Struthio camelus: one gene and its partners. The protein of the gene in region 3 purifies or fractionates together with the protein of the main gene of each other region. This does not show direct contact. Links are inferred from orthologs where the notes say so. Each region holds a gene or a part of one and is shown on either strand. Other genes may lie near its edges.

What was found.
Region 1: the proteins of XPO1 (region 3) and BACH1 purify together in Homo sapiens (affinity purification with western blotting; 3 studies listed by BioGRID, with this or other methods). This does not show direct contact. The link is inferred for Struthio camelus from reciprocal best matches to the Homo sapiens genes XPO1 and BACH1.
Region 2: the proteins of XPO1 (region 3) and RCC1 purify together in Homo sapiens (affinity purification with mass spectrometry; 3 studies listed by BioGRID and IntAct, with this or other methods). This does not show direct contact. The link is inferred for Struthio camelus from reciprocal best matches to the Homo sapiens genes XPO1 and RCC1.
Region 4: the proteins of XPO1 (region 3) and NUP88 purify together in Homo sapiens (affinity purification with mass spectrometry; 3 studies listed by BioGRID and IntAct, with this or other methods). This does not show direct contact. The link is inferred for Struthio camelus from reciprocal best matches to the Homo sapiens genes XPO1 and NUP88.

What each region holds. Positions count from the first base shown.
Region 1 is NC_090942.1:118,932,612-118,940,593, reverse strand, and holds the start of BACH1 (transcription regulator protein BACH1), read right to left. Parts: upstream 3,287-7,982; 5' UTR 3,049-3,286; intron 1,523-3,048; exon of another isoform or gene 1,470-1,522; intron 1-1,469. UniProt on the Homo sapiens protein: Transcriptional regulator that acts as a repressor or activator, depending on the context. Binds to NF-E2 DNA binding sites. Plays important roles in coordinating transcription activation and repression by MAFK.
Region 2 is NC_090964.1:6,353,059-6,360,986, reverse strand, and holds the start of RCC1 (regulator of chromosome condensation), read left to right. Parts: upstream 1-4,642; 5' UTR 4,643-4,729; intron 4,730-4,814; exon of another isoform or gene 4,815-5,019; intron 5,020-5,140; 5' UTR 5,141-5,187; intron 5,188-5,934; 5' UTR 5,935-5,992; intron 5,993-7,928. Other genes in the region: PHACTR4 (phosphatase and actin regulator 4), read left to right, coding at 866-1,003, 1,668-1,744, 2,513-2,528. UniProt on the Homo sapiens protein: Guanine-nucleotide releasing factor that promotes the exchange of Ran-bound GDP by GTP, and thereby plays an important role in RAN-mediated functions in nuclear import and mitosis.
Region 3 is NC_090944.1:131,248,499-131,255,701, forward strand, and holds the start of XPO1 (exportin-1), read left to right. Parts: upstream 1-4,203; 5' UTR 4,204-4,355; intron 4,356-4,423; exon of another isoform or gene 4,424-5,071; 5' UTR 5,072-5,095; intron 5,096-5,767; exon of another isoform or gene 5,768-5,944; intron 5,945-7,203. UniProt on the Homo sapiens protein: Mediates the nuclear export of cellular proteins (cargos) bearing a leucine-rich nuclear export signal (NES) and of RNAs.
Region 4 is NC_090957.1:13,531,089-13,538,669, reverse strand, and holds the start of NUP88 (nuclear pore complex protein Nup88), read right to left. Parts: upstream 3,287-7,581; 5' UTR 3,265-3,286; coding exon 3,022-3,264; intron 2,104-3,021; coding exon 1,934-2,103; intron 1,446-1,933; coding exon 1,320-1,445; intron 1,106-1,319; coding exon 1,019-1,105; intron 428-1,018; coding exon 251-427; intron 1-250. Other genes in the region: RPAIN (RPA-interacting protein), read left to right, coding at 3,467-3,544, 3,762-3,950, 4,543-4,606, 5,136-5,250, 5,824-5,887, 6,025-6,159, 6,741-6,770. UniProt on the Homo sapiens protein: Component of nuclear pore complex.

The DNA.
Region 1 (7,982 bases), on a different chromosome or scaffold from region 3:
GGTTAATAACGTTTGCTGTTCCTGCTTGCACTCTTTATTTACTTATCAAGGTATTAGCCAACAGGCCAAAATCAGAATCCAACCACACTCCTACCAACATAATCCTGAGAGTTAAAAGAAGCAACTCAAACTCGTTATCTCCACATGATTCTAATAACTACCTGAACATTCTTTGAGATCCGTGCTCTCATCTAAAGGCGTTTTGGCTGCCTCTTCTCTCCAATGTACTTCACTAATGTTTCCAAAGTCAATTTGCCCTTCTTTTTAAAGCTTCAGTAGCTGACAGTCAGTTGAGCTTTACTCTGACCTGCAAACTCACATTTAGACCAACTACTGTTCACCAAGATTTCCTTTCATATAAGGTCTTAACTGAAAAACACAGAACACTGCTGGAGATGAAGATAACTTTTGTGATACAGCTTATGATTTATTCCAGCAAGATGAGCCTTTCTGTGATTTCCTCCGTCCCCTCAACTTGTTAATCTCTGAGCTGAAGGGAAAGGGGGAGCTGCAGAGGGGTCCTAATGTATTATTGGTACTTAGGTCATACCAGGCTGAATTCACACAACTTAATAGCTGCTTCAGCAGCTATTTTTCCGCTTACTTGAGATTTCGCAGAAGTGGATAGACATCAACTAACATTAACTATAGCTTAACTTAGGGTTGCATATAACCCTAAGTTAACCCTTTACAGCACTCATGCTATAAAGATAAATACCACATAGGATATTTCAGTCCCTAAAACTTCGTCATGAACCTTTCAGCAGTAGAACTCTGACAACTAAAATGTCAGCACTCACATATACCTAAATCCTTTGACCAATCTACCATGCCTCCCTCTCACACCAACATGCCCAGTGCATTGAGAAAGACAGGTCTACGACTACCAGGAAACCTATGAGGAGTTTATCAGAGCGCTTCTCATTTTATAGAAACGAGAGGGGGGAGAATAAAGACTCTTGAGTTATATTTTCCTAAAGCTATAGGGCAAAGTTATCTGGGACTCACACACCTGATATATGAGGCAACCTCTATTCTACCCCCACAGACATTTTTAGTCTACGCCCAATGATAGTGCTACATCTAAATGAATGCAAAGGGTATAGTTTTTAATATGAGACAATTCTAATAGCAGAAAGTAATGACAGATTAATGTGCTGACTTTCACAGACATAATCAAATCCATATATTTTCTACTTTATTAAGATTACTACTGATCAAAATATGTTTAGTACAAGGATTTTAGAACCTATTAAGCAAATCAATATTTATTACTCCAAGATCTTGCACATTTTTGAGTATAAAATACACAATTTATACTCAAAATTACTTTATATATATATACACACATACAGACTCACTCTCAACATAAAATATTGACAGTAGATGCTATGTGAACTTCTGTATTAGAGTTTCAGTCAATCAGAAGAGCATTTCTAAAGCACGTTTCCCCCAAACATCCTACTTACTATAATTCTATTCACTTCACAGGATGGTCTTGGACTAGAACAAAACAGGTTCTCTGTGGATAAAAAGAAACTGGAAAACGTACTCCAGAAGTACATCTAAGGAAGTACAAATACTAAGTGATCCATTAGAGCTAACCTGAAGTAAAGCCTTCCAAAAGCACATACAACGCGGATAGTCTGTTTTCAGCAACAACAGTTTCTCTCTGTAAATCTACTATTTTTGGGGTCTTACTATGTGCTATTACACACACAGCTTCACTCACATATGTAAGGGAGTACAAGAGGAACTATGCTGATTGAATCACCTTTAAAGTTAAGCTCATAAGCCATAAAACAAAATTTGGATTATCTAAGCAGCTTTAATTTGGACTCACTATGCTTGGTTGGGTGATTCTCATTTGTTTTCTCTTCAGTATGGTGTAATATTCTGCGATAAAAGACTATATTACTAGAGCATTCATTGTGCTGTGTAACCTTAATTTACAGTGTTTCTTCCTGCTGTATTACAAATACTCCACTACTACAATCAAACATTTTCCATGCACCTATCTGATGTGCCTCAAATTAAGACCTCTTGCAAGAATTACTATAGGATCGTATACATATTATATGTATATAGTTATCTTTGATTGCTGCAATGTTTACCTTCCTTTTTTTTTTTTTAACTATATATTCAACACGTGTTTCTGAGGTCCCGGTTGTGCATGTATTTAGGATTACTGTGGTATTAACATACTAAAAATGGAGAATGTAAACAGAATGTGATGTAAATGCATCATCACCTGCTTTTCTAATTACTTCATTTTCAACATTTCCAAAGCATGCCAAGGATTTCACAGTACAGAACAAGACAGACAGGATTTATATCTCTTTGTTTATAGTCTAAAATAAATCTTTCCCAGCCTTCCAAACACATATGATGCGTGTTTCACCTAAGCAAAACACAGTCACCGCTGGGATTTCCAGCGCTGTAGAGTTGCCCCTTTCACACAAGGCTGGCGAGCGCAGACTGGGAGAGTCACGCCTGTGTTACCGGAGCGCACGGGCACTTGGGCACCCACTGAAACCCGCAGGAGACGCTGAATAACGACTAAAAGCTCGTGCCCAAAGCACAGAGGCATCTGGCGCAGCGCCAAGTCGGACTTCGGGGGGGGGGGGGGTGTAAAATACCCGAAGACATGACACTAGGGAGCGGGGAAGGGGGGAGGGGCAAGGCCGCCGCCCGGTGCCCGACGCAGGCAGGACGCCGCCGCCGCCGCTCGGCTCCCCCCCCGCCCTGCTCCGGCCTGACGTCCTCCCCACCGCGGGACCCAGCCTCCGACAGCGGCCGCCCGCCTGCCCCGCCGCGGGACCGGCCACTACTCCGACCGCCGGAGGAGGGTGGGGGGGGGGGGGGAAGAGGGACACATGAATAACACCGCCCCTGTAAACATGCCGCAGCCTCCTCCGCTTCCCCCCCCTCCTCCGTCGGAATGGTGCTTCCCTCGCGCCCCCCCCCCCTTCAGCCCAACGGCCGGTCCCAACGGACACCGAGCGGCCGCGCGCGCGCCTTCTCTCCCCCCCGCCCCGCGCCTCTCACCTCAGCACCTTCCGCCGCGCCGCCACCCCTCCGCGCGGACACCGTCACCCGCGGGCCGGCCGGTGGCCGGACGGCAGCCGCCTTCACCGCCTTCCTCCTCCTCCCGCTCCCCCTGACTCGGCTGTTCCTGCCACAGAGGCTGCGGCCCGACTGCGGCGAGAGCAGTCAGGTGACTCCCAACAACATTACTCGCCTTGCCGCCCCGTTCCTCCCCCCCACCCTTCCCCCCGCCTTCCCCTTCCACACCCCGCCCGCTGATTGGACGCGGCGCTCCCCACCGACGCGCAGCCGCCCACAGCGCCGCGCCCCGCGCCTGCGCGCTGCCACCGGCGGCTTGGCGGCGGCCCGCGCCCCGGGGCAGCGCCGGGCCCTGCCGCCGCCCCTTCCCTCCCCTCCCCCCCGCTCCCTCCTGAGGGCGGCCGTTAGCGGCCGTTGGGGGAGTCGGAGAGGGGGGGCGCTGGGCGCGGTGCCCCCACCGGCGGGCAGTGGCGGTCGCCTCGTGTGCCGCCTCTCACGGGGAGAGCCCGGGTGCTTGTGTTTCGCAGGTGGAAAACTCTTACTTGTTTTAGGCGTGCGGCTGGAGGTCTGTGTTGGGAAATGCTACCGCTTAGGAGTCTTGGTTGGCAATGCGATTTTTAACGTTTCTACGCTAGGGAATGTCAGTCAAGCGTTTGGCAGAGATAGCGGCCTGAGGGTGTTTTTGCTGGTATAATTTGTTTACTTGCTGAGCTTGGCTAAAACACTTTCTGATAGTGGGAGCTGTGCTGATACGAGGACGAGTTGCTGGAAGTGTCCCACTGAGAGACCTTTCCTAGTTTAGGCCTGATTTTTCAACCAGCTATCGTGGTCTGTGCTGTGCTATGTAGGAGGAGATAAGATGTCAAGTAAGGCAGAAAACATCGTGGAGCAAGTTGACGTGAAGAGATAGCCTTCAGTTAGCAACGGACAAACTAATGCTAGAAACGAAAACAGTGTGATATTACCGTTGAGCTAGTAGGCCTTTTGAAAAGCAGACTAGGATGCTGGGTGCTGTGTGAACATAGCTTCCTCCTGGAAAACATACTGTTTTCCAGTCTTGCCTAGTATTTTTGTGCGATGCCAGGTACATGTACCAATTCAGCGTAAGCTCTTTTAGGGATATCTTAGAAAGCAGTGTATATTACCCTGATCAGGACTGAAGAATTTGCTGGACTTTGCTAAATGGTTGTCCCCTTCTCTAGAGTAAGTTGGAGCATATGTAAGGTTTTTACTGCAGCTCCAAATAGCCAGAGGGTAGCTTCCTCTCCCCAGTATGGTCTTCAAGGGAAATGCAAAGAAAAAATTAGTGCTCGGGTGTTGCTACGAGATGGAAAAATTAAAAAATTCAGCTCTATTGTATATTAAAAGCAGATAAATTCTCTCTTGAACAGATTGGAAGTGGGTGAACTCCATGAACCCTGTTTTTTCAAAGATGCCACTGGAGGTAGCCGCCTTCCTGCATATCCTGAATAAAACATTAATGGTGGCAGTTGTGAATGATGCTGCCAGTAACCTGAATGGAAATGAACACCATCATTTTGATATTTAAACAAAGTTCAACAATTGTATTTACATTTGAATTATGGAATTGCATTCATGCATTCTGTATAAATACAGAATAAGACAGGCCCTGAGAGATTCTATACTTCATTTTAGCTCTTCTGCAAATTATGGGGGAAGGTACGAACAAGATCTTGCTGGTAATTCTTGGTAATACTAGGTATGTGTAAAAGGGGAGGGGAGTTCCCTTCATATTTAGGTATAATGAGTGAACGTAAGTTCACTGTTTCTAACTCAGAAACAGATGAAACCTTAGGGAAAAATGTGTATGTTCGAGTGTCATTTTTAAAAGCATACTTTTATCTATTATTTTGCCCACACGTGTTGTAATGTTGCTTTTATAAAGAATTACTGTTAGAATGGTAACTCTAATGAAATTCTTTTCTTTATTTCCAGTGCCCAGGCAGCTAGAAATTAAACAGCTAGGAGGTTTGAGGGACCTACAATTGATTTCTACCCCAAGCAGTGAACTAAGAAATGAAGTTTCATTTTCACTGCAAATTAGAAAGGAGCTTTTCAATAGCTTTCCTTAATAGTCATTATACCAGATTAAAACTGGTAACAGACAGGAAATCCCTGACTGTTTATTGATTCTTTTGTTAGCTCAAGAGAGACTCCTGAATGGGATTTTTTTTTTTTTTTATGGGGAGTGGCTGCATTCACTCTAAGTCCTTCAATCTCATTCTTGCAAGGTGTATTTTGTTAGTATTTCTTTGGCTCCATTTCTTTAATCAGACATCTTAATTTCCACCCAACGTGAAAGTGACAAGCTGATGCACTGTAAAAGCAGATCTGCAACCATACCCTGGGAAGAAGTTCCAGATCACTTACTCAAGGGTTCGCACTTTCTCTGGGCCATGAAAAGTTACAGTACTTACGGCAAATTGTGCAAGCAGATGGAAAAGTCTGCACCATAAAAGCTGTCTTTTCCGCAGTCAGCAACATTCAAAGTAGATATTGGCACCTTATCTAGATTTGTGCCAGGTGAAAGCCAGTCTGTTTTTTTGTTAACACCTGCTGTAGGCCTGGCACATAAACTTTAGCCATCTTCCAAAGTGACACACCTTTCATTGCTTTTACGCGTTCCTGTGTTCTTCAAGAGCCTTTAATGTGGGCTAGTAAGGCTGAGTATCAGTTTTTTGTCAGCTTTTTGTAACTGACAAGCATACAAAACAAATAAAAGCAATGTGAATAAGGTAGATCATCTTTATTATGTTGGCTGTAGACAAGGTTTAGTCAAGTGCTGTTTTCTCTAAAAGGCCTACACTAAGCAGGATTATGTGGCTATATGATCATCCATGACCAAAAAAATGTTGCATGTATGCCACACTGGAGCTGATGAGGCAAAGGAAGGTACCAAGTCAAAAGAGATGCTGAAAGAATATAAAGAACACAGCAGTGTAAAGTATGTGACTAAACAAGGAATGGAAGGTTTAAAAATGTATGTTGACTTAAGAGCAAATTTGAATCTTTGGTTACTAATGTAAAATTATGCTATCAGTTGCTTTTACAAATGATCTTTGTGAGCGGTCTTCAGAAGAGAGTGAGGCCTTTTAGGTAAGAAAAATCTTCCATTAGAAGGAAGGATTGCCTTATACTCTCCATTCCCTACTTCTCCATGGAATTCCTCTGTCAGATTTGTCCATGTGTATTTCTGCTAAGGGTACAAATTATCTCCATTACTTTATAGATTAAAATAACCCCTCTTTAACAGTTCTTTTCATATGTAACAGAACTATTATTATTCCTGTGTTTATACAGCTCTTCTATTTTGAGTAAGTAAGAATTTATTAGCGTCCCCAATTTACAACTATATCTTAAAATGAGCATATGAGAGGTTTGTAATCTCACACAGGGTTTAGCAAAATCGCACATAATGAGGAGAGAGTGTAGTTCTCTCTGCTCTTCGCATGGAGAGTGTATTGTTCAAAATTCTGGGTCTTTCAGTTTTGATAGAGACTAATACAGATTTTCCTTTTGTGACTGTTTGATAACTGCTTTCCACTTCGCTAAGAAGGCATTTAATTAGTCTTTAGTTGGCTGTTACATTCCACAAGTATAACCAAGGTTTCATTACAAAAGAACATAAGCAATTTGCCAGTAAATAAATTCATGAGACAGCCATTTGATAATGTTGTCCAAATAGTATCCTTTTGCTTGAGATTTGGATACTACCAGTTTTACAATTTTACTAATAACATATTTTGAATCTTAAGTTTTTATAGTTGCCCCTTATATTTTCAGTGACCTGTAGTTCTCGTGCCCTTATACATGTTGGTGATTCCCAATCCCCAAATACTCCAGATATAAAGAAAGCAGCTTTAGAAAGATTGTTTAGGTTGTAAAATTTGAGTTACAGAAATACCTGTTCTCAAATGTAAAGCCTAAACAGAAAATTTCAATACCTACCATTAGACTAAGAGAGTTTTTTTCTGCCCTTCCACTTAAGATTCTTGTGAGGGAACAGCAGAGGGAGGAAACTAATCAAAACAAAAAGAACCTGAAATTTGGCCAAATCTTGGACCGCACCCACCAAGAAGGGATCTTCATCTCTTCATCTCTTGTTCTCAGTCCTAAGGATGATGCAATGCTGACTTCCCACACAATAGAGAATGAAATTATGGTGTAATAACTTGTTGCTCACTCATAGTCAGACTGAGGAACCAAATAACTACTTTCCTCATTGAATTTAGACACAACTGGAGAGAGGACAAATTTAAAAAAAAAAAAAAGCTAGGCCTTTTTTTTTTTTTTTTTTCCTAAAAAGGAGAAGTAAAACCAGCAAAAAAGAGATCTGGGAGCTAAGCTGAAAAATAAGGAAGCAGATCTTCCTGCATATGAACAATGAATGTTTTAAAGTTTAAACAATATATAAATTGAGATTATAAGTGTTCACTGAAGCATTCACGTAATTAGAAGGAAACAATAATGTCTCATTAATTTTTTGGTAATAGAATTATTTTCTGATACACTGAAGTCATTAATGGGATTTTAAAGCTCATTATATAATGTGCTTGTATTTCCCTGAGAAGCATGGCTGTAACTATCTCTTTGCTAGTGTCATTTACTGGCTCTGGCACAGTGGATGCCCCAGCCTTAGCTAGTACTGGTTGTGGCCAGACCACACTGAGTTCTGGGCTAGTCTATGTGGGGTAATGGCCCAACGAGATGGAAGTGGTATATAATCTGTGTTGGATACTGGCACAACCTGAAATAAGGAACATTGTAGGACATCTTTAATACTATATTTCATCTTCAGTACCCTTGCCCTCAGTTCCTGTGCTGCTGAACCTTGATTCATACCGTAGACACTTGGCTAGTAAGTTCTCCAGAGGTAAATTGCAACATATCCCAAC
Region 2 (7,928 bases), on a different chromosome or scaffold from region 3:
AACTTGATCTGTCGGCAACAGCGAGCCATTGGCACTGCAGCCATGTTTGGTACTGACAGATCTGAGCCGGCATCAAGCGCAACAAGCTATATGACAACGCAATTTGGCACCTGCCACTAGAAAAGTTTGTTGGTGCTGGCCTGGCTGTGGTAATGTAACAAACAGAGTACTAAAGTGGCCATGACTTTTCCACCCCAGGCTCACCAAAATCCATTTCCAAACTAATAGCAGCTTGGGAGAAGCTGGGCTGAGCAACAGGTGGTTTTACCTCTTATGTCCAAGTTGCTTCTAATTGGATGTTTAATCATGGCATTAGAAGTCTGACTCTAAATCTATACCAAACACCTTCGTAACATGGCTTGAAACTGAGATACCACCCTGTTTTCTAATATGTTGATCCCACTTATGTGTCAGACGTAGTCAGCAGTTAATTCTGGCCTTCTGAGTTTGAGCTGTGTTACTCATTGCTGGGGAGAATTTCCCAAGGGCCTGTGGACGTGGAGTGTGAGTGTTGCCACTGTTGAAGCAGAAAATGGGCTTGCTTGGCTCAGGGGTGTTAGACAAGGCTTGCCCTTGCAGTGGCTGTACCCAAACCCTTTGGTGGCATCCTCCTTCTCTGGAATGTAGCTGTGGTTCTGCCCTAGCCCAGCCCCGTGGTCCAAATGAGGACTGTAAGAGGATTTGTAAGAGGTAGATTGTAAGAGGATTTGCTTACTCCTTTGCAGGCTGCTTCGTGAGCAGGACCTAGCGGTACCTGCAATTCAGGCCCAATGAGGGAACTGGGCTTTGTTTTGCCTGGGCTACTTAGTCCTGAGCCACTTTGTGGACAAAGTACAAACTCACTCATGTGCTCACTTGTGTTCAGCTTAGCCAAAGGCCTACAGTGGCAGAGCTGCAGGCCAGGAAGATCCTGAGATTTAATGAATATGTGGAAGTAACAGATGCTCAAGACTATGACCGGCGAGCGGATAAGCCATGGACAAAGCTAACACCAGCTGACAAGGTAACAGGGAGTGTCCTGTCCCCAGGTCTGGGGAGGAGAGCTAGACTGGAGTGTTGCATGCAAAAAAGGGTATGAGCAAAGGAGACTTGCTCTGTTCTTCTTGCTTCACCTCTGCACCTTTCCCTTTGCTGTGCCACCCCACCAAGCACCAGCAGTATCCCATCACCCGCATGCACTGTACCCAGCCCCGCTTCCTGCTCCCTCCACAGCAACGTGGAGCCCAAACAGTGTGGCCTGCCTCTCAGTTCCCAAATGATACAAGAATAGAAGGCATGGGGTGTTGGTCAGAGGAGTGCAGTTCCTCACAGGCTGAGGCAGGCCCAGGCAAGAAGGTGGCAGGGAAGATCCCCTGTTCTTATCACACCCCAGCCACCTGCCCAGCCCTCAGCGTAGCAGTGGTAGGGCAGATTAAACTCAGTCTAGCGTGGGCTGACTTGAGGAAGCTGGGGAGGCTGCTGCACTCTGAGCTCCTCTGTCTACTGAAAGGATCTGGGGGACTCAGCCCTGCCTGTCAAAACTGCGGTCACCCTTCACTTCACCGCTGAAAGGTGGCGTGGAACAGCCCTGAGCAGGTGTAGAAGTACAGCATCTTCTTACCCCATCTAAGCTCACTTGAGATGGGTGCTTTAGTGGGAGGTAAAAAGATCTCTCCCTCTTTGTGCAGGCTGCCATCCGGAAGGAACTGAATGAATTTAAGAGCTGTGAAATGGAAGTCCACGAGGACAGCAAGCAGTTCACGCGGTGAGTGAGAATACATTACTCGCTCACTGTACATGGGCTCAGAGTTCCTGCTGTTCTTGTTGGGAGCGCAACAAGACCAAGTGCTGCTGCGGTAGTGCTGAGAGGCCAACCTTTAAAACCTTAGAAAAATGACCAGTGCAATAGTTGCAGGTTTCATGCCCCTTTCTACCTTGGGGTGTTGCTGGGTGACTGGAAGAGTGATGTGAAGTAGGTGATGGTTTCTCCCTGAAATGGGGCTCTGATACAGTAGTCTCAGAAGTGACCAGAGGTGGTCTGAGGTGTAGATGAAGCCACTGTGATCCACTGGGAGCCACTGTAGCTGGAGTGTGCTGTTCTGGGACTGGAGATGGGCAGCAGAATCCACAGCCTTAGGCATTTTGCTTTCCCTCTCAGCTTTGCCTCCTGGAAAATGGGGTTAGCATTAGACCGCTCTTTGTAGGATGCTCTGAGGTCTACTGCAGCTGGCAGGTGTCTGTCACCAAACACCTTGGTAGTTAGCTCTGGTATATCCGCAAAGTAACTAGTGGATCATGGCCCAAGTGATTCTTTTTTTTACCCTGAAAGTTGCCCTGTGCGGCTAAGGTGAGTGTGTTTGTGGCTCAGAGGAGCTTTCTAAGGTGGGGTGAAATCCTATGATGTTAACAGCTTAACTGAGGGCTGAGAGTTCAGATGTAACTCACTTTACTCTTGTTGTCCATCTGTAACACTTCAGCAACCATTTACCCCAAGTTCCAAGGGTGACACTTGGCTTTTTCACTGGGCGTTTAGGTACCATCGACCGTAATCTTCCGGGAGGGAGCAAGAGATCCGAGAGGACTGAAAGTTCTCAGCATCCATCTCCTGGCAATTCAGTGAGGGTGAACCTCAACTCTTCCACGATTTGCCTTCAAAACACCTAGAAAAGGGCTCTCGGGGGCAAAGGGGGGTGTCCTGTCTGAATGTAGCATTTCACTGGAACAAACACGTCTCGAGTGCCATCAGGCTGGAACTGAACACTATACCTCGCACGGCTCAGCAATATGCCTCTCCTGGCACCAGCATCCCTGCCGGGAGACCACGCACATGTGAATGAACAGTTCCTTCCCCAGCTCCCTTTCTCAACTGTGCCAGGCCCAGTTCTCAGCTGTACATACTCCTTATGATTGGAACTTCTTAGTTTTCCTTCTCCTTACCAAGGAGAGGGGGGAAAAAAAAACCCGGCAGCTCTGGTGTTTGAGAGCTGAGGAATGGAGAAGCGGATGTGCCAGGAAGCACGTGTGTATATTAGCTGTGTACAGAAACCCTGCACAGATGCTGACCTGGCAGACAACTGACATGTGACTCTCTTCTTTTTTTTTTTTTGGTTTTGCTTGTCTCTGTAATGTACGTAATGTCCTGAATCACTACTGACCAATGGTTTTGTTGTCCTGGAAGGGAATTGTATAGATATTAACATATGCTGCATCTTTTGTTTAAAAAAAAACAAAAACAAAAACCCCCACACACAACAAAAAAAAACCCTTAAATGTATAAAAACATTCCCTCTCCACTCTCTCACACTTGCTCTGATGTTAACAGATCTTGCCTTGAGATACTTAGGCTTGTTTAACAAATTACAGAGCCAGGAACTTAAAACATTGTAGAAAGGCAACAGTCAATTTGGGGAAGCTGTGATAGTAGTTAGTTCTTTTTATTGTGGCTTCCTCTGTATTTTTTTTGTTTTAATTCTCACAGATCAGGGTGCAACTTGCCTTTTCTCTCTTTTTTTTTTTTTAAAACAGCAAAACCTACTGGAAACTTGATAACTTCACTGTGTGGGTGGAAGGTGGGGGGGGGGGAGAAGAGGTTTAAAAAGTGACCTTAAAACAGCTCTTCGTTCTCTTTGGAGAATGATTTCTTGTCGGTTCTTCCTGAGTGTTTGGATTTTTAATTCTGGTGCGCAAAGCCTAGCCCTGCGGCTGCGATGCCACCAGCCCTGAAGGAAGGGGAGAGGGGAGGCGGCGCAGCGGGGCGGGAGGACTCGCCTTGTTCACAGACCGCTCGACCGCAGGGTGAGGGGCCGCCGCAGGCCGGGCCTGGGCACCGCTCTGCGCCCACTCCCTGGGGCCTGCTGTGCCGAGAGCTGCTGCGCCGGGGTCCCCCTGCCCTCGCCCGGACCGTCGGCACCGCTCGCTGCGGCTCCCGGGCGAGGCCGAGCCGAGGGCGGCCCGCGCGGCCTTGTCCCCTGCTGCCGCCATGCTGGGCAGCGGGTGCGTCCTCCTTCATGGCTTCCCCCCCTCCCCCCAGTATGGCTGTGGACTAAATCATTGCATTGTTGTATATCCTTCTCCTCCTCAACAGATTTTAATTATTGAATAAAAGTATTTTAGGATTTGTTTTTTAAAAAGACTGATTTTTATGGCTTCATGGTGTGAGGAGGGGGAGAGCTGCGTTTCAAAGGGACTTTCTGGGAAGGGACTGGGCAAGGGGAGGGAATGCTCGGACTCCTCTTCCTCTCCGCAGCGGCTGGCGATGCCAGCTTTAGGGGGAAATACAAAAAACCGGGACGTTTGCTGCGGGTTCGGCCTTTTGCGCCCTCCCGCCGCGCACGCGCCGTCCCCCCACCCTTTCCCGGCGCCCTCCCGCCGCGCACGCGCCGTCCCCCCACCCTTTCCCGGCGCTCTCCCACTGCGCATGCGCGGTCCCCCCGCCCCTTTCCGGCGCCCTCCCGCTACGCACGCGCTGTCCCCCGCCCCGTCCCGGCGCCTTCCCACTGCGCACGCGCTGTTAGCTCCTTTCCCTTTTCCCGCGCTCTCTCCCTGCGCACGCGCGGCCCTTCCCGGCCCCTCCCCCACACTGCGCACGCGCCGGACCAGCTGCCCAATCGAAACCTGCAGCTGCGCAGTCTCCTCGCGCTGCTGCCGGCGGCGCATGCGCGGAACGCTAGCCCCGCCCCGCCCCGCCCTATAAATTCCGCGGCGCGGAGCTCCTCGGTCTCTTTGTGGGCGGCGAGCGGAGAGGGCGGAGGTGAGGTGTCGCCGCGGGGGTAGGGGGCAGCGGGGGCGCCCTGGGCTCCGGGGTTGAGGGTGGCTGCGGCGCTCTGGAGCTAAACCCAACGTGGATATCCGGAGAAGTAGCTCTCTCTCGGCTCTGTCCGTGTGGCGCGGGGGAGCGTAGGCCTTCGGGCCTGTGACGTACAGTCCCTTTCCACAACGTTGGAGAAGAAGCCGGGCCTCGGGTCTGCAGCCTGCATATTCCTACTGCTTCTCCGAGTCCTCGGACTGTGACGGAGGAGATAAACCATGCAGGAGACAAATACTGTAACTCGGGGATAGCTTTGCGCTGGGGTTGGGCAGCCGCTGCGCGTGCTTTGGGGAGAAGTGCGAATGAGGTCTAATTTGCAAGCGGTTACTTAAAATATTGTTTTCTTTATTTCAGTTGTAAGCTTGAGAAGCTTGAAGTGAATGGGGCGTTGATTTTTCAAGGTAATGTTGCACTAGTAATGTAATATTGTTCCGTGTTTGTAGTTATGCCGCTCTCTTAATAGTTTGTTCTCTAAAGAAGCTTGAACTATACTCCTTTAGCTGGCTTACGCAAAATGAATTGGGTCAACAGCTTGAGGTAATTGAATACCATTATAGACTTGGTAGGCACTATTTAAGAGCGAAAACTTAGCTTTAGATATTTCCCCACTTCTGAGATGTCACAAGACTTTAGATGGATTGGGGGGGAAAGAGAGGTTAACTTCTGAATCTTAAGGAAAAAAATAGAAAAAAATTCGTTTCTGAAGTATGGTTGAATTGTACTTGTGGATTTAGTGAGCTTGGGGCAATCGCCCATGTGCTCATGTTAATCAGTCCTAGAGCAGACTTTAACATCATCTGTGAAGAACAACGTGGATCATTGATCTGGGTACTGGAGCATTGGGATTACATTGAAAGAAGCCACGGGCCACAATTACTTAGGACTGGGAGCATGTGACTGTCCTGTACTTGATACCTGGTACTTGTACCTGATAATGGTGTATTTAATGGATGAGCAGAATGGATTAACAGAATAGATAGAGGTCCCTTGAAAAAATATATGCTAGTATCGTAGCACCCTGTGTGCCCCTTACAGAAGGGGGAGAACAAAAGTGCTTCCTGGCAGATCATAAACAGCAAAAAACCCATGTGACTTGCCAAGTTTTAAGATTCTTTTTTTTTTGTTGTTGAATTTTTTTAACATTGCAGACCCTGACTGAGTGTGAGATGCTAACAGCAGAAAGTAACCTGTCTGCCTAGTGGGATGGTGAGTATGCTCAGAGCACCTCTACCAACCAGAAAATAGAGGAAGTAGATGAGGTCCAATTCATGCAAAGTGTTGAATCAAAATGAGACCGCAGACACTGGAGTAGGCTGGAAGGAGAAGATGTCTGTATTTGGCTATCTAATAGCATGTGCTCATTCTGGGGGCCTGCTGTTTTCTGCTGTATCAGAAGAAAAGGCCCTGGTGGTTGCATGGCATGCTAACTGTTGAATGTTGCACAGTGAAGCAGGGCCTGCTCAGCAGGGCTGACCCTGCACGGCTTAGCCACGCTCTGAGGAACATAGTGGAGAAAGCCTGTAGGAACAAAGGGCCGTGGTGCACAGCACCTGAAATCAGTGTGCCAGTGCACGTTGTCTACACAAGCTAGGAGAATGCTTGTTAAATGTTTGGATAACCTGTCTGTGGTGCTTAACCTGAAATGGAGCCAGAGAAATGAAGCAAGCCATTGTGAATCTTTCTGGTTGTAGGTGAGATGAATTGTTTGGTGCTGGGGAAGAAGGCAAAAGAGTGTGAGTATGGCGTGAAAGTCATATATAGCTTGTGTTAATGTCTGTTCAGGAAGTTTTGAATTACTTCTGTGAATGTCCTGGAGGTTTGTGATGCTATGCCTGACAAATAAAGAAATTACTTTGAAATGGTGTTGTATGGCTGTTTTTTCTGGCATGACTGTTGGCCATTTGTTCATTCCTTGAAGCTCAGGACCCATGACTAAACTTCTAGGGTTTCATAGCTAATGTAGCAGGGTTGTCCTTCGGAAGATCTTTAGAGTCTGCCCAGCGTCATCTCCAGTGATGCCTGCTTTTGAGCTAGGAAGGTCATAGCAGCAGCATGATTATCACTAAATATACTGGTGAGGATACCGATAAATATATGGTATTTTGTATCCTTTACAACCACCAGAGTTCCCTGGTCTGTAGGGTTTGGTGGGGGAGGAGGGTGTGGAGTGCCTTTGCTTTAAGTTCCAAATATCCTTCATACTTTGGGAGATATTTTCTCCCTGCAATTAAGTCAAAGGCTTTAGAGGCTTTTTTTATTCCTGTTGAACCTATGAACCCCTTTGGAACTTTTAACTTAAATGTCAGCAGCTTTGCTTCATAGCTGCAATGTTCCCCACCTGGTCAGTGGAGCATGTATCTACCCCTGGGTGTTGAACATAAGGATGAGTTACACGAGAAACCTGTTTCACAGTCTGAAACAGTGGAATGGGCACAAAGAGCAGAGGGGTGTTTGTCCTGACAAACTTCTAAACAGGAAAAGGGCCTTGAAGGACAAAATACTGAAGGTTGCTGTGGGAGGAGACCTGAAGGGAGCGTGCACAGTCGAGGAACGTGGTAAGAGCGAGCGTGTGGTCGTGAGCTGTAAGTCCAGCTCTGCAGAGCAGTCTGAGAACAGCACAGCTGCCTTGTAAAGTCTGCCTGGAGTTGGCCTAGAGGTGCCACTCATGGGTTAAATAGCTCATGGGCTATTTAACTTGGGAGAATGCCCTTTCTCCTTGCTCTGAGAGTCGATGAACCTTGCTTGAACCGGATGGTGAGGCTGGTGAATGCCTGTGGGGGAGGGTTGGAGGAGCAGTTGTCTGTCTTGGGTACCTGGTTTGAAACTTGCTGGCTCATGGGTTGAATGCTGAGGGTGTATGGGGGTAGTGGGGCTGTCTGCTTGCTCTCTGGAGCTTGAGCTGATCCTGGCAAGACTTGAGGTTGCGCCTGGCTTGGAACTGTGCTGAAGTGGTTGCAGATCACCTCATGGCATGTAAATTTTTCATGGGGGAAAGGGCAAATGCAAATAGATGTGCTTTCTTCTTGACATGCACTTTCCTAGATAGGCTGGTTGTCTTTTTCTAACTCTGAGCTGGCAAGTGCTTGTTTTCCTATTGCATCCTGTCACAAACTGGTTTAAATCCTACACCTGCAAGTGACTT
Region 3 (7,203 bases):
GTTTCAAGTAAGATAAACAACATGAAGTAAACAAAGCATTATGTATTTATTATCATCATGACTGAGATGTTACAGGACAGAATTATTTTGATGCATGATAAAAAAGTTAGATATACTGCATTCACATTCCCGCCCTTCCAAATCTTAACTGCTTCAAAAATTTTTTCCAAGAGACTTGACTTACAAATTAAGTACAGAAAAAACAGTAAAGTTCTCTGCTATTATTATTATTATTTTTTAAAAGACAATTATTCTTCACAAGGAGAAAAAAAAAGAGGGTCTCAGAGTTGCAGTTTCTACTTTGGGTGGCCTTGTAGTCTTGTCTTTCTCACAAACTCTGAATTCAGAGTTTGTGAACTTATTAAGTACATCCAAAGTCTAGATGTCTAAAGACATCATCTAAACATGGGCCAGAAAGCTTCTGCAAACATCCGATTCAGCCAAGGCAAGCTCAGATACTACATCACTTTCAGTATGCTCTCCCCGCTGCCAAACTGACCTGTGACTTTTCTGGTGGCTCAGCTATTTCCCCTAGTAACACGTCACACAGGACCTAATCTGGTATCACATGGCCTTGAATCTCCTCAGCTTCTGCCTGAAACATAAATAATGTTTATTTGGATACAAGCATTAGTTCCCTAGCCTTCACATAATTTTTTTTACATGTATATGTGTGTGTATATATATATATATACACGTGTACACACAAACATATATATTTTTATATATATATATATATATATATTTTTAAAAACACAACAAAACACAAAGTGAAGGCTGAGGGACAGGAATATCCACAGCCTGCCTAGAACTTGTAAGGCTATTGAGAATCATAGTTACGAGTACAGTAGAAATAGGTGTAGCTATAGTCTATTTACTGAAGTTTATTTATTGACTTGCACACTACTAGAAATTTTCCTTTGGGATTACTACAAAAAATTAATCTTGGCATTAATTAAGTTCGGCATTTCTAGGTTGAACATTGATTTATTGGCTTAGTTTAGACAATTTTTCTTTTTGGTGATTCTCCACTAATGAAGAAGTGCCTGTTCAACTTGGAAATACATCACATCATCGGTCAGGATTTGGTATTAATCGTGTGAAATGTATTCCTTTTTGGGGCTGTGGTCTCAAAAGCAGTCTCAGCTAAAGAAATAAACGTGATAGGGAACAAGTAACTTCCTGAGAAGGTATTATTCTTAAGTGGCATTATGAACTACTTCATAGACGCTGCAGTTTCATAATTTCACATAGCATTGTGGAGCTAGTAGTTCAGCTCAGACTAGACATTCAATACAAGAGAATAAGCTCCCATCCTGAAAATATATATAAAAATTAATAAAAGTAGTCTATGAATGGGCTCTTGGTTGAAAGAGCTACCTCCTACTTAAACCGACCAACTCCTTAAACTTTTGTAGACGCTAACTGAACAGTCTTTGAAGCAGCATGAAGTTTTATTTAAGGGTAGGCTTTAACATATTGTCAGCACAGGAAACATTACATACAAAGCTGTCATCTACAACGCAATCAAAAATTACATAAGCTGTAGAGAATAAGTTGTCTGATAAGGTTGCTCTGTTAAAATTTGGACAATCACATAGAAAAACTCCAGAAATAAAGCTTTATTAAGCCAGTACTGTAATTATCCATCAACTTCGGAAGACAAATCTTTGAATGCTTTTACCAACAAAGACAAGCTGTAGCATAATAAAAAGTAGAAAGAAACTGAGGAATGCACAGGTAACTTGAATAACTACTCATTTTAATAAACATCTTATTTTATGTTGACATTCATAGCTTATAGAACTATTCCATAGCCATTTTCTAGACATTTACTTTTGCAGACGATGTCTCACAGGTCATCACCCCGTCCATTATTATCCCATACACGCTATGGCTGTATACTTCTTCATGTACTCACTCAGCTCATTTCTACTACAGGTTTTTACTAAAGCTGTGGAGAACTTATCCTAGGAGGTTCTACCAGAAGCTTCTTAGAGCCTTTAGATAAAAAACAAACACTAGTTGAGAGGCTTATATTTCACATGCCAGAAGTGAACACAACTACCCGGGCAGATGATTTAAAACAATAATTGATATAGAAATAATACATGTTGATAAAGGAACACAGATCTTACTATGTCTCTTCACTTTGCAGTTCATTTTTATAATTTCTGTTTTAATAACGCAACAGCCAAGAATCAAAGGGCTTACTTTTGTAAAGCTAGTCTATTAATGCCAATCCTTTTGCAACCTGCTACAGTTTAGAGCATAAGAAATTGGCCTAGCAAAGTTAATACTAATGTTACAAATTAAACTCTACATATTCAGCTGAAGAATCCCTTGAATACTCTAGTGTACTCTGCAGGAATACCAAGGAAAACATCTACCTTTCAGAAGACCCGTTGTAGTATTCCCAGATATTTGCTGCACTTCCATCTTGCAAAAAAGAAGCAGAACCAGAAGATATCGGTTTAGTTTCTCAAAGACAACTGCAAACTTAGTCTTTCAGTTCATGAGAGAAATAAAGGCAACTCTAAAAGACTCTGGTTTTGTTAGCAAAAGTCAGCATTTCTTAGAGGATAGACTTTTGTAAAGCCTCATGCTGAACATGCATAAAAGCACTCACTTTTTTAAAAAGCTGTTCAAAAGGGCTCAAGCATAAGCTTTTTCCCCTTCTTGGCCATAGTCTAGCTCCGCAACATCTCCAAGCTCCACGGACACCCCAAGTTTCCTTTGGGTACTGTAACGAAGACAGAGCATTCTACAAACAAAAGGCATCACTTCTATACAGGAGTTTCACTGGCAATGCATAGCTGTTTCAAAAAAATCAAAAGAAAAAAAACTTTACCTCCAACTAGGTTTGGACAACTGCAGTATTTGTTACTAGAAAGATAATGAAATACTTCACAGTATTTTCCTCCTCTTAGGAGGCAGAGATTTTTACAAGTCTCCTATACACATCATTTTTCAAGCAAGGAGCTAGGTTTTGAATTAGCTATACAGAACTTGAGTACCTGTACTGAACGTAAATTCTCATAGAGCACTTCTGCAGATAACTGTGTTACAGATGGAAGGTCTAACAAGACCCTGTTTTTCCGTGTTAAAGTTACTAAGCAAATTCTTTCACTCCTTCACATGACAATGAGACTCACGACCCCAGCTTGTTCAGTTTGAGCCACCCCTAAAAATTGAGCCTAGGTCCTCAGGTCATCCCTGTTCACCAGCTCTGGTGGACAAGCGTTTCTGCTATGTTTCTCTTACTGCTAGGTGAGTCAGCCTTGCCTGAACCACAGTCTGAGATGCATCTTTGAGAGACTGTGGGGGATACAGTTATTGCAGCAAGCCGGATACCCTATAAATATAGGCACAACGGGGTGGGGGAGGGGGGGGAGACCGCGCTTCAGAGCTGCACGGACCTTGGTGCAGGGAACGCGGGGAGGTACACAGCAGCCCTCAACCTCCACTGCCTACCCGGATAGCCTTTTAGCCTCCCGCAGCCTAGGGACACCGCAGCAGGGCCCAACGCCTCAGCATCCACCTGGCTGAGCCGGCCCCAGCTAGGGCGCCCGGAGGGGCAAGGCCCGCCATCGCCACCCGGCCCCTCGTCACCGGCGCCCTCTCGGTCCAGCCTGCCCTCCCGCCGAAACAACGCCTCAGCGCTAACGGGGCACCGGCGGGCGGCTCGAGCCGCCCCCAAACCGGCCGAGAGCCCCTTCTCCCTCAGGGACGAGCGCTCCCCGCCAGCGGCGCGAGCCCGCCCCCCTCAACCGCCGCCGCTCATCCACACGCCGCGCCGCGCCGCCCCTCCCCCCACGGCGCGCGCACCCTTCGCCAGCGCAGCCCTAAGAGCCGCCCTCAGAACAGCACGTCACACCGAGCCACCAGCCAATCGGAGCGCAGCAACACCTGTGCCCGCGGTTTAAGAACTACGAGGCGGGCCGGCGACTGAGTGACACCTCGGCTCGGCCTGTCAGCGAGCAGCGGCCCGCCTCCGCCCCCCCCCTCCCGCGCGCAAAGCGCTGCTGGAGAGGGGGCGGATCCCCTCTATCTTCCCCCCCACCCCGCCCGCTTCTCGCTCCCTCCACCCCTCGGAGGCGCGCAGCGGATAGACAGGCCCTCCGCCCAATGAGAGCGGAGGCCGCTTGCGCGGCGGCAGCGCCCGGGACCAATGGGAACGCCCGCTGGGCGGAGGCCTGAGGTTTCCAAACGCTCCGCGGCGCCATGGGCTGAAAACTAAACCGAGATGGAATCTCCCAGTCTGAACCGGTTTGAGCCGGTTCCGAGTCTGTGGCTTTAGGAGGGGGAGACGCGCCGCGCTCAGTCCCTGCTACCACCGCTGCCTCCGCCGCCGTGTGTGTGACCTGCTCATAGGGGAGCCCGCAGGGGGAGCCGCCGACACAGCTGGGGGGGCAAAGTTTAGTGCGAGCTTGGGGGGGGGGTGGGAATGGGGGTGAACTGAGCGGCGGCCAGGCCTGAGGGAGGGCGGCCGCAGCGGCGGGAGTAGCGAGAGCCTGGGGAGGCGAGAGAGCCGGCCGCACGGGCCGAGGCCTGGGGAGCCAGCGGCTTAACGAGGAGAGAGCCAGGGCCCAGGCGAGCCGCAGCTCGGGCAGCCGGGGCCACGAGGAAGGCGAGAGTCCCCCGGGGGGCCTCGGGAAGCCGGAGCCCCGCGCGGACCCCTCCCCCGGGAAAGAGGAGAGGGGAGCGCTCGCCGCTTGCTGCGCGCCCGGCGGCGGGCGGCCTTGCTGCGGGGCGGAGAGGCAGGAGGGAGCCCCGCGGGGAGCGGGGGCGCCGGCCCGGGGGCCGCAGCCTTGGGCTGAGCGCGCAGCGTAGTCAGGCCAGGACACGCTTGCTCGAGGGCAGTGTGGGGCGGAAAGGAGTGACGCTAATAATAAATACTCCGCAGGGAGAAGGGTGCGCGTGTATTTCTCCCTCCTTCCCCCACCCACCCCCCCGCTTCCCTCCTCGGGCTTTTTTGGGGGGGGTTTATTTTTCGATTTTTTTTTTTATTATTTTCATTTTTTTCGGCGCGTGGTTAGAAACTTCGCTCACCCACCCCTACTTTTTGAAGGAAGAGGCTGTAAGAAACACCTAGGTAAGTAACTGCTAAGGGCGCGAGACGGGGGTGTTGTAAGGCGTGGGGCGGGGGGGGGGGGGAAGAGAGCTCGGGAGGAGGAAGGTGTGGGGCCGTGAGCCGTAAAGGCGGGGGAAGTGGGAGGGCTACGGCCGGGTGTGCGTGGAGGGCGCGAAGTCTTGGCTGAGGCAAGAGAGAGGCGCAATGGGCCCTGACCAGAAACGGAGGGGGCGGGGGAGGTATAAATCGGGTCTGGGGTACAAGCATCCTAGGCCTTACGGTGCCTGCCGAGGAGCCGGAGAGGGAGCCGAGCCTACCACTGATGCTGGGGCCGTGGGGAGAGCGGCGGCGGGGGGTGCGGGAGCCGCCGCCGGGGCGCACGGGCCCGGCTGCCGACGGGGAGGGGGTGGGGGGGGAGGCCTCCGAGTCGGTGTGAGGGGCCGAGGGGGAGGGAAGGGGGATTGGGATCGGGCACGGGGAAAAACTAGGGACATAATCTGTAAATTATTAGGAGTGGAAGTTTCCAGAAATATTTTTTGTGTGTCTGTGCAGCAGTATTGAAACGTCCGCCTGGATCACGTGGGGGCCCTGTATAGAACGCAGGGCTGGGGCGGAGGGAGGGAGGGGGGAGGGAGGGGCCGCGCTGCGGCGGCCCCGCCGCGCTCCGCAGGGCCCCGGCCCGCCCGCCGCGGCCCGGGGGCGCCGAGCCCGGCCCCGCGCTGGGCACGGGAGGCCCCGGCGCCGGGCGGGCGTGAGGTATTTTGGGGCGCTCTGTTGGGATGCAGCTGTACTAAGGAGGAATGCCCCGGGATCGCCGGCGGATGCTTTGTCAGGCAGCGTGGATTTAATCTTGCACATGAGCCCGCGCCGGTAAAGTAGCGGGGGGGAGAAGCAATCGTTTCATTAGGGTTTCTGGTGTGTTGTGTGTAATGCAAACGCCTTCGTGGCGTGCTCTCTGTTTCTGCTTGTGCAGCTGGAAAAATAGACGAGTGTGATGCAAATAACTCGTTGGAATGGAAGAGGATAGCGGGGTGGTAATTCGCTTGCATTTAGCAATGGAATTACGTGTTTAGGATGGAGCTGAGCGACTTCCCTAGTGTGTGTGTGCACGTGTGGTGGATTTTGTTATTGCTGTTTTTGTTTTGATTAGTTGCTGCCCCCAGTCAGCTTTCTCTAGCTGCCTTACTTTGTAAATGGTTGCATGTGCTCTAGGGACCGTTGTGAATACTCCGAAGTATTTCCTTTTCCTTTTTAAAATGTGTATTTTCATTCTGATGTGCTACATACTCAAGTGGTTCAGGTAGACCATAATAAGATAATTGTGGCCTTAAACTTAAGGTCCAGGGTCACTTAGAGTTGGGATAACTATGTAAACAGCATTCTGTAAATGCAGTTCTTCTGACCTTCGATAGGTGTCAGATTCTTGCTGTGTTCAGAATTTTTTTTTTTAACTTCTCGTTTGGCTTTTGTTGCCCCACTTACTAGTAGTGTTGAACTGATTTGTAGCCGGGCCTGGAACTGGCAGTTAAAACGGTTCAGGTTTAGGCGTGATGGGAAAAGTGTAGGAGCAGAATAAATCAGAGGTTATAAACTTAATGTGGGTACCCTATAAGGAGTAGGAAATCGAGCTGATTGCAGCTGGTATTGACCACAAAGCCACCATTTCTGTATTTCAGTTTGCAAGTAGGTAGGTCATTTTGAAGATAATGCTGGGAGTGGCAAAGGACCCTATTCAGAACATTTCCTTTTGGCTTCCATGGGGTTGCTAACTTCTCTTAGTCACCCGGCTGTTGGATTGCGTCCTTAGCGCTGCATAAAAACAACTGAAACGGGCTTAAATCCAGAATGAATGGTGCTACCTGAAGAACATCTAATTTTAAACGTTTATTGTAGTTGAAAACGTCATTCCCAGCTCACGGTTGAGCCATGGAAACGGTATGTGAGGAGAAAGGGACATGCCTAGGAGTCTGTGTGTCTGGTGGGAGTATTAACTGCTCTAAGCTGAAGAGTATATTGATTGGTTGGCTTTCTTTTCAGTAGTACTGCTTACTGCCCGTTTACAAGATGAAGTTTTTAAGAGTCTTTCTGAGTTAGCAGAACTTTATTCCTTTTTTTTGTCTTGCTTCCAT
Region 4 (7,581 bases), on a different chromosome or scaffold from region 3:
TAATTGACTGCTGGTTGTCAGCATTGGAAACTGAACCTTTCACCTCTGGATCAAAAAAGAAAGCCTCGCTATTCTTGGATTGAAGTCTATTGGTACTGCCATGGGAGAAGACAGAACAGTTTGCAATATCGTAAAGCCAGCCTAGCATCCATTCCAGAACCCGAGCCAGGCTGAGAGATGGCTCTGAAATCCAAGCATTGCACAAACATACAACCACCACATGAAACGTAAGGATGAGTGTGAGGCCTACCTCTGTATCAGACTGATATATGTGAGGAATGTCTCCCCATTTTCATATAAAATGTACAGAGGATAGGCCAACACTTCTTCGCTCCCTCGCTGTCCAACTATGTTCTTTGGGAGTGGCACCAGTGGGCCAAAGTCAAACGCCACTGCAGTTTCTCCAAGCGATGCTGTGTAGGCCCTCCTGGGACAAGTCGAAACAAAACCTGAAGTCAGCAATGACTGGGAGAACACAGGTTATTTATCTAGGTCCATCAGTATGTGCTGTCAGACAAACTACTGCTAAACAGCTGACAATCAGTTCTTTGATGTCCTATGTTCAGCAGCAAAAGCCTGCAGGTAACATCTTTCTTCCTGTGCCGCATTTCTGAAATACGCTCACCAGCCAGTCCAACTTCTCAGGATACAAGGGGACGTACCGGTATTTCCTGTGTAATATATCAGTCTATGGCTTGACTAGCCAAGATCCTCGAGTTTCTCCTTTTCAGTTAGGCCAAGGAGAAAAGAGAAGGACAATTATTTTCTGCATTCCTCTCTCAGAAAGCCCTTTTTAACCACATGTTAAGGATGATGTGTAATGTGTATTTTTCAAATGCCAGCAAACACTAGACTGTACAGCTTGTTCCTCCTTTTTTTTTTTTTTTTAAATAAACGTGGGGTAAAAAAAGGTGCAGCTAGCGCACCAATAAGACATGAGAAGATTTTCTAGTGGATTTACCACTCATTCAATTAAAAACACATTTGATACATTTCAAAAACAAGAAGCCACACAAACCCTTTATTTATTATTAAAGTCTCCTCTTCAGCGTCTGAGAGAGCAATCACTTTGATGGGTGTCTGAGGCACCTTTAGACTGTAAATCCTGGAGAAAAGAGATAGGAACAATGTTAATTCAGTTGTCAGCGTTGCACGCGTCCCTGCTGATACAGAAACATCAGTAGTTATCAGCCTAAAATTTTTCCCAGTCTACGTTTTTTTGGTAAACCCGGTGAGAATGGTGATGCAAAAAGATCCAGTGAAAAATCAGACTGGCTACTACAAAAAAAAGTTGATGATCAGTTATAAACAGGTTTTACCTTATGGTGTTATCTGAAGTCAACAGCACAATATGGGGCTCTAATGTCTCACAGGGATACCAGGCAGCATGCTTTAAAGTCAGAGATGTTGAACTTGTGAAGAACCTTTCCGCAATAGGAATAGTACTGTAATACAGAGCAGAAGCGTGCAATGTTACCAAAAAACAACAGCGAAAGAACCACACATCCCTCCCAAAAACAAAAACAGAATGAGTTACTACTTCCAGGGGAAAGTAGGGGCAAGAAGAAGGGGAAACCCATTTAAAATGTTTCAAAGGCATTGGCTGTATAATTCTTAAGGCTGAAGGGACAGCTTTAATATGTAGCCCTTTGCCATTTCCACCTGAAAACGTGCTTTTACCTGCCAATGCTAAAAGATCCAAATGGTTAGTGAAAAATACAGAAGAATACCTTGTTCCTCTGCAATTGCAACAAGCTTTGTTGCAACAAGCAACAACCAAACAGCAAACCCCGAGCCAAAATAACCGCGTTTGTGATTGTCTCTACAACCCTGATACAACCAATGCCTTTCCTATCTAGCCAGACGAGAACAGAGGCTCTCATGGAACAAACAGCAAGACAGGATATCATGAACCACCTCAGGTCTTACCCACCTGCAGTTGACTGTTGATTTCCCACCTTCAAATTCAGAATTCTTCCCCCAGCGTTTAGGCAGTTCCAGTACCATGAGCCCTTTAGTACCAATGAGCGCCACATGATGCTGCGTGGGGCTTAACAGTGTTTGATAGACCTCAAAAAGGGGGGGATTTATGCAGAGAAGAGTCTGAAAATAAAAGTGTTACAGTTAAACGCAAGCCATCAGAAACGCTCATGGAAGTACAGCGTTCAGGATTTAGTATCCAGTTTGCACGGCGATTTATGCACAGGCCATGGGGTGATAAATAAAGCTTGTTTCAAGCCACACCATCATACAAAAAATCCATCCGTTTCCCTGAGCGAGGGCCCCACGTTGAGAAGTACTTCTGCAGCCACACGTCACTTAACTCCTCCAGCCCAGCCGCGACGGACACAGCGGCTGCACGGCCACGGGGAAGCCGCCACCACGCCGACCCACGCGTGCTCCTCGGCTGATGGTTTTACCCCCAGTCCTGCACGCGGCAGCGGCTCGGTGACAGGGGGCAAGTGCGAGCCGGGAGGGCGGCAAGCGGGGCCAGGGGGCCCCCCCGCCCAGGCGGCAACAGGGCCCTCGGCCGCCCCTCGCCGCTGAGCCCGGCCCCGGCCCCGCAGCCCGGCCCTGCCGCTGCCCAGCGCACGCCGGCCCCACGGGGCCCTGCTCGCTGCCCCACGGCCCCTCCCGGTACCCATCGCCGTCCCCATCTCCTCCCTCGGTCCCGGCCTCTCCCGGTAACGATCCCCCACGTCCCGGTGACGATCCCGTCCCCATCTCCGGCCTCTCCCGGTAACGATCTCCATCCTCCCCCCGGTCCCGGTCCAGCCCCTCCCGGTAACGACCCCCCCGGCCCCGGCCGGTAAGGACCCCACGTTCCCCCGATCCATGTCGTCCCTACCCGCCAACCGCCCCAGCCCCCCCCGCCCCATAACGGTCCCCCACTCCTCCCCCCCCAGCTAACGGCCCCAGACGCCCCTCACCCGATAACGGTCCCCCCTCCCCCCCGCTAACGGCCCCAGATCCCCCCCCCCATAACGGTTCCCCTCCCCCCCCGCTAACGGCTCTCCCCACCTGGTAGCGGCCCAGCCCCGCGGGCTCGGGGCCGCCGAGGCGGCGGAGGCCGATGGTGTGCAGGGCGCTGCTCTCGCCGTCCCAGAGGAAGAGGTCGCCGTCGAGGCCGAAGAGCAGGTTGCGGATGAGCGGCGGCCGCGGGGCGGCGGCGGCGGCGGCGCTGCGCTCGCGGAGGCGGCAGAGCACCGCGTGCTGCGGCAGCGCCGCGCGCCACTGCTCCGCCGGGCCCCACTCGGCCGCCATCGCGCCGCGCCGCGCCGCCTCCTCCCCCGCCCGCCCGCCCCGCCCTCGCAGCCAATCAGCGGCTCCCATCGGCTCGCGTCGGCCCGGACTGCATCTCCCAGCGTGCCCCGGGGCGGGGTGACGGCGGCTCCCGGCATGCCCGCGGCGCGGCGGCGGGCGAGGCGGGGCGGGGTGGCGGGGGTGGCGGCGGCGGCGGGCGGCCATGGAGGCGCCGCTGCGGCGGCACCGCGCCCTGTACAAGGGGCCGGCGGCGCCGCCCTGGAAGGAGACCTACCGCCGGGTGAGCGGGGCCGCCGCGCCGGGGGAGAGGGGGAGCCGTCTGGCGGCCTCCGGGCGCGCAGCGAGGCGCTGCGGGAGCGGGCGGCGTGGGCTGGGCCTGGGCGCCGTTACCGGGCGGGCGCCGACTGCCGCTACAGCCGCTCCGCTCCGCCAGTGCTGTAGCAGCCCCCCCCCCCCCCCCCCCGCGCGTCACTGACGGGCCCGTGTTGTCTCCGCAGCGCTGCGTGGAGAGGCTGCGCAACAGCCGGGCGAAGCTGCTGGACCGGTACCGGCAGGCCGGGCAGCGCGTCGGCGCCTCGGCCCTGGGCGCGCAGCTGGTGCAGGAGGTGATGGAGCAGGAGTGGCAGGCCCTGCGCTCCGCGCCCGGCAGCCTGCCCTCCCTGCGCGGCGAGCAGCCCTTGGCACAGGTCGGTACTGCCGCCGCCTTCGGGCTCCTCGCCTCGGGATGTCGCCCGTCGGAGGTGGGCACATCGGGTGCACCGCTCTGCCGCTGTAGCTGCTTTCTTCCCCGGTGAGCTCCAGCCTCCTCTGCTTGGAGTTGGCCCAGCTCAGACCTTCTGGGTTTCGAGCTTCGGCAGCTAGTGCGGGATGTCGTGAAACAGCTGTGAGAGCGGTGGCCTTCGGGCCCAGGAGCGGGGAACTTCCTTATTTCCAGCACAAGCTGGGCATGAATCGCAGCAGAGGGGGGATTTCCACAGCTGTGGTTTTCAGAGCGCTCGTGTCACTGACTGCTTTCACTTCCAAGAAATGGTAAAAAGACTCTAACGTTTTAAAAGGCAGATTCTTGGGCAGCCTGTGATCCCATCCCTTATGAATATTTTTGCACAGATTAGTATCGTGTATGTTGCTTTCTACAGTGCATGTTTTTGCAAATGCAGAGATGTGACAGATAGACAAGTAAGGAGTGAACTTACATTACACTGACAGCTTAGTCAGGCGCTGGAAAATAAGGGAGAATGTAGGCAGAATGGGAGAATTACTGACTGATGCACCTTTCAGATGCTAGAGGATCCTGACGAACTAGCAGTGCTGGAAGAAATCCAACATGAATTGGTGTTGCAAGGTAATTTCTCAAAACGCTTTTTCAGACTTCAGTTTAAATCGTAATATTTCTGACTTTCTAGTAATCCAAACGGGGGTGAGACTGAACTCCTTAGTTCTTGTAGACCATGGGAGTTTCAAGAAGAGCCTCTTTGGAAGTATCTGTGGCCTCTCTAGGGCACTGAGCCCTTTGTGACAGTTGTAAGTTTGAATGGCGCTTTAGGGTCTGTGAGAAGCTAATAGAGTCAGGAGACAGCACTGTGACGTTTGGGAGCTGTAGGAGCATGTATAAATCAATGCAAAGTATTTCTAGGTTGCTGGTTGAAGTGTGTTATATTTGCACAGTTGAGACCGCCTAAGGATTGAGCCATAGGAAAAACTAGATTAACAGGAATCATTCCTCCAAGTGTAGAAATGCGATCCAAAGATAAGATAGACACGTTCAGAAGTAGTGGCTGTCACAGACTGTCCACCAAGCAACTTCATGCATGTTTCTGTAGCATCTTGAGCTCATAACAGATGCCCGAGGGTGTTCTGTTCCTTGATTGCAGAACAGTTGCTTATAGAAGAATATGAGCGAAGTCTTCAGTTTGATGAAGAATGTCTCAATGCGATGCTTGATGGCTTGGATGCCGGTGACAAGATCATCTGCCCCGTGTGTAGAAAGTAAGAACGCTCTTGGCGCTGGAACGAGATGCGTGACAGAAGCCTCCCAGGGCTTCTCTACTCCGTAGTCTTGCAGGTCTGAGCAGCACTCAAAAGCTGTGCTACTCTAGATATTGTTCTCTTAATGAACGCTGGCTTCTTTCCTGTTGTTCTGTGCAAGATATTTGGGTCTTTTCGTGCAGCCGCCTCTGTCTAGAGCACTCTGAAGGGAGTTACAACAAGATCATTGTGTAAGTTAAGGCTGAATTTCAGCTGCAAGGTGATAGCACAGAATTTCTCTTCTGTGCCATTCATGGAACAAAGTATTCTGTGAGGAACCTTGGTGCTGCAATCAACCTAGCCATAATTAGCACAAAGAGGGATTGATTCTCCACCCTCCTCCCGCACATAAAAAGTTTGGGCTTAGAAACAGGCGCTAACAAAAGCAACAGGCAAACACAGGCTCCTGTTTGTGGGTATTTCAACAAAATAGAAAACTGAGCAACGAGCTCCAAAAATCTAACAACTCTTGCTAAGGTCTGCCTTTGTTCTAGTTGTTGTTGTGAAGATGCTCAGTGTCTGCTGTCTTCTTAGGAATAACCTGACCGTGCGGAATCACTTGGTTTTTTGCCAGTGTGGATTATACATCAGTACACAGGTAAGCTATGTTGTGGATGAAGTGTAATTAACATCCTCTGTCTATTGCGAGGTCAGCCTCCTTCTGAACAAGAGGAGGCAGTTTTAAGCTACGGAGCAACTTAAGTCTAAGATTTCTTTTAACCCAATTTATCTCAGGATATGACAGAAGAGAAGCTCCGGTCAGTTCTAGAAAACACTATAACAGAGCACAGTCACAGGTGCTTTCACAATCCAGAGTTTACTGTTACCAGCGGAATGGAGGAAGAAACCAGTCTTCTCATGAGCTGTTCGGTGAGTCTAAATGTCAAGTTTCTGGAAAGGCTCTTGGGTCAGACCAACTTCTGTACTACCTATTTAGCTACACACAGAAAGCAGCAGTCCATTGACCTCAGTGGTTTGGGTTGCTGTTTCTCTCAGACTCTCTTGACTACCTGCAACCATGAAAGGAAGGGCAGTAGCATTACACAATTTACAAAATACACCTTAACTGCTGGATTAGGGAGTCTTTTGAGGACCTATCAAATTAGCTGACTTCCTTTCTCACACCTTAGCAAACAACTTTGCCTTGTGTAGAGCATCTATTTTGAGAAGTGTTTCCTGAAGAAAAGCTGTAAAAGTTATTTCAGTTTAGGCCTCCTCGAACAGCTCAGGCCTCTTAGAGAACCCACATACCGTAACTTCGGCTCAAGCTAGAGCTAGCAGGAAGGACTTAAACTTGCTGCTTAAGTAGAACTGCTGGGCACTGATATGTGTACCTATCTGACTACAGTTTTAGGAACAGAGCATTTCAGTTTTGTATATTAATAGAGTTATATATAAAATGTATGAGTAGAGTTTGTCTGTTTGTTTAACTTCCCTTACTTCTTGTAAAGGTCTGTGACTCCTGGATGATTCTCCTGTAACTTGATTTCGCTGCTGTTTTTTCACTGGAAGAACTTCTTGAGTTTAAAAATCTGCCCAGAGCTGCTACTATTATGTATATACTTGTAACTGTTGTGTCAAAAACATATTTGACAAGGCAGTAGTATTGCCTTAACTTGCACTTTTGATGACACAGTAAATATTTTGAAATAAATAGACCTAGTTTATTTCAGCTTCCATGTTTTTTTATTATTATAATCAGTGCATCAGTGATATCACAGCTTGCACTGGCTTTCGCTTTTGTTTTCTTTTCACTGACAGCATCTGTGCTTTGTTATATCCTTTTCTTCTGTTGTAGAGAACAGAGGAGTCCCTGTAGGCTTAACTACACAAAGCACCAAAACCTAGTTCCTTTTCAGTATAGGATCCTCCTAAAGGAATGGGACTGCTCTGGTACAAAAGCTTTGCTTTTGTGTGAGGCGTCCCCCTATTTGAGCATGGGTCCGATTAATTAGTAAACAAATATTGTTTTAATACACCTGGGTTAACAATGCATAGACGGGCAGAAGGACAGCAAAGAGAAACGTAAGTTGAATGTATTTCTCGTGAGACAAAGACGACTCTCAAAACACTATAGTGTTGGCTGGCTAGCGGGTGGGAACAGCAGGTGCTTGGATTTGGATTCCTGACAGCCAAGGCTTCAGGAGGATGGAGAGAATCCTGTTCCTCCCATGGTCAATGTGGTCAGCTCTGGTCAGCCTCTGCAAACAGTCATGAGACACATTTCTCGTTGAGTCATAAAGGAAAATTATGTTAAACTGAAACCACAGTAAAGCAGCTTAATTCTCTACC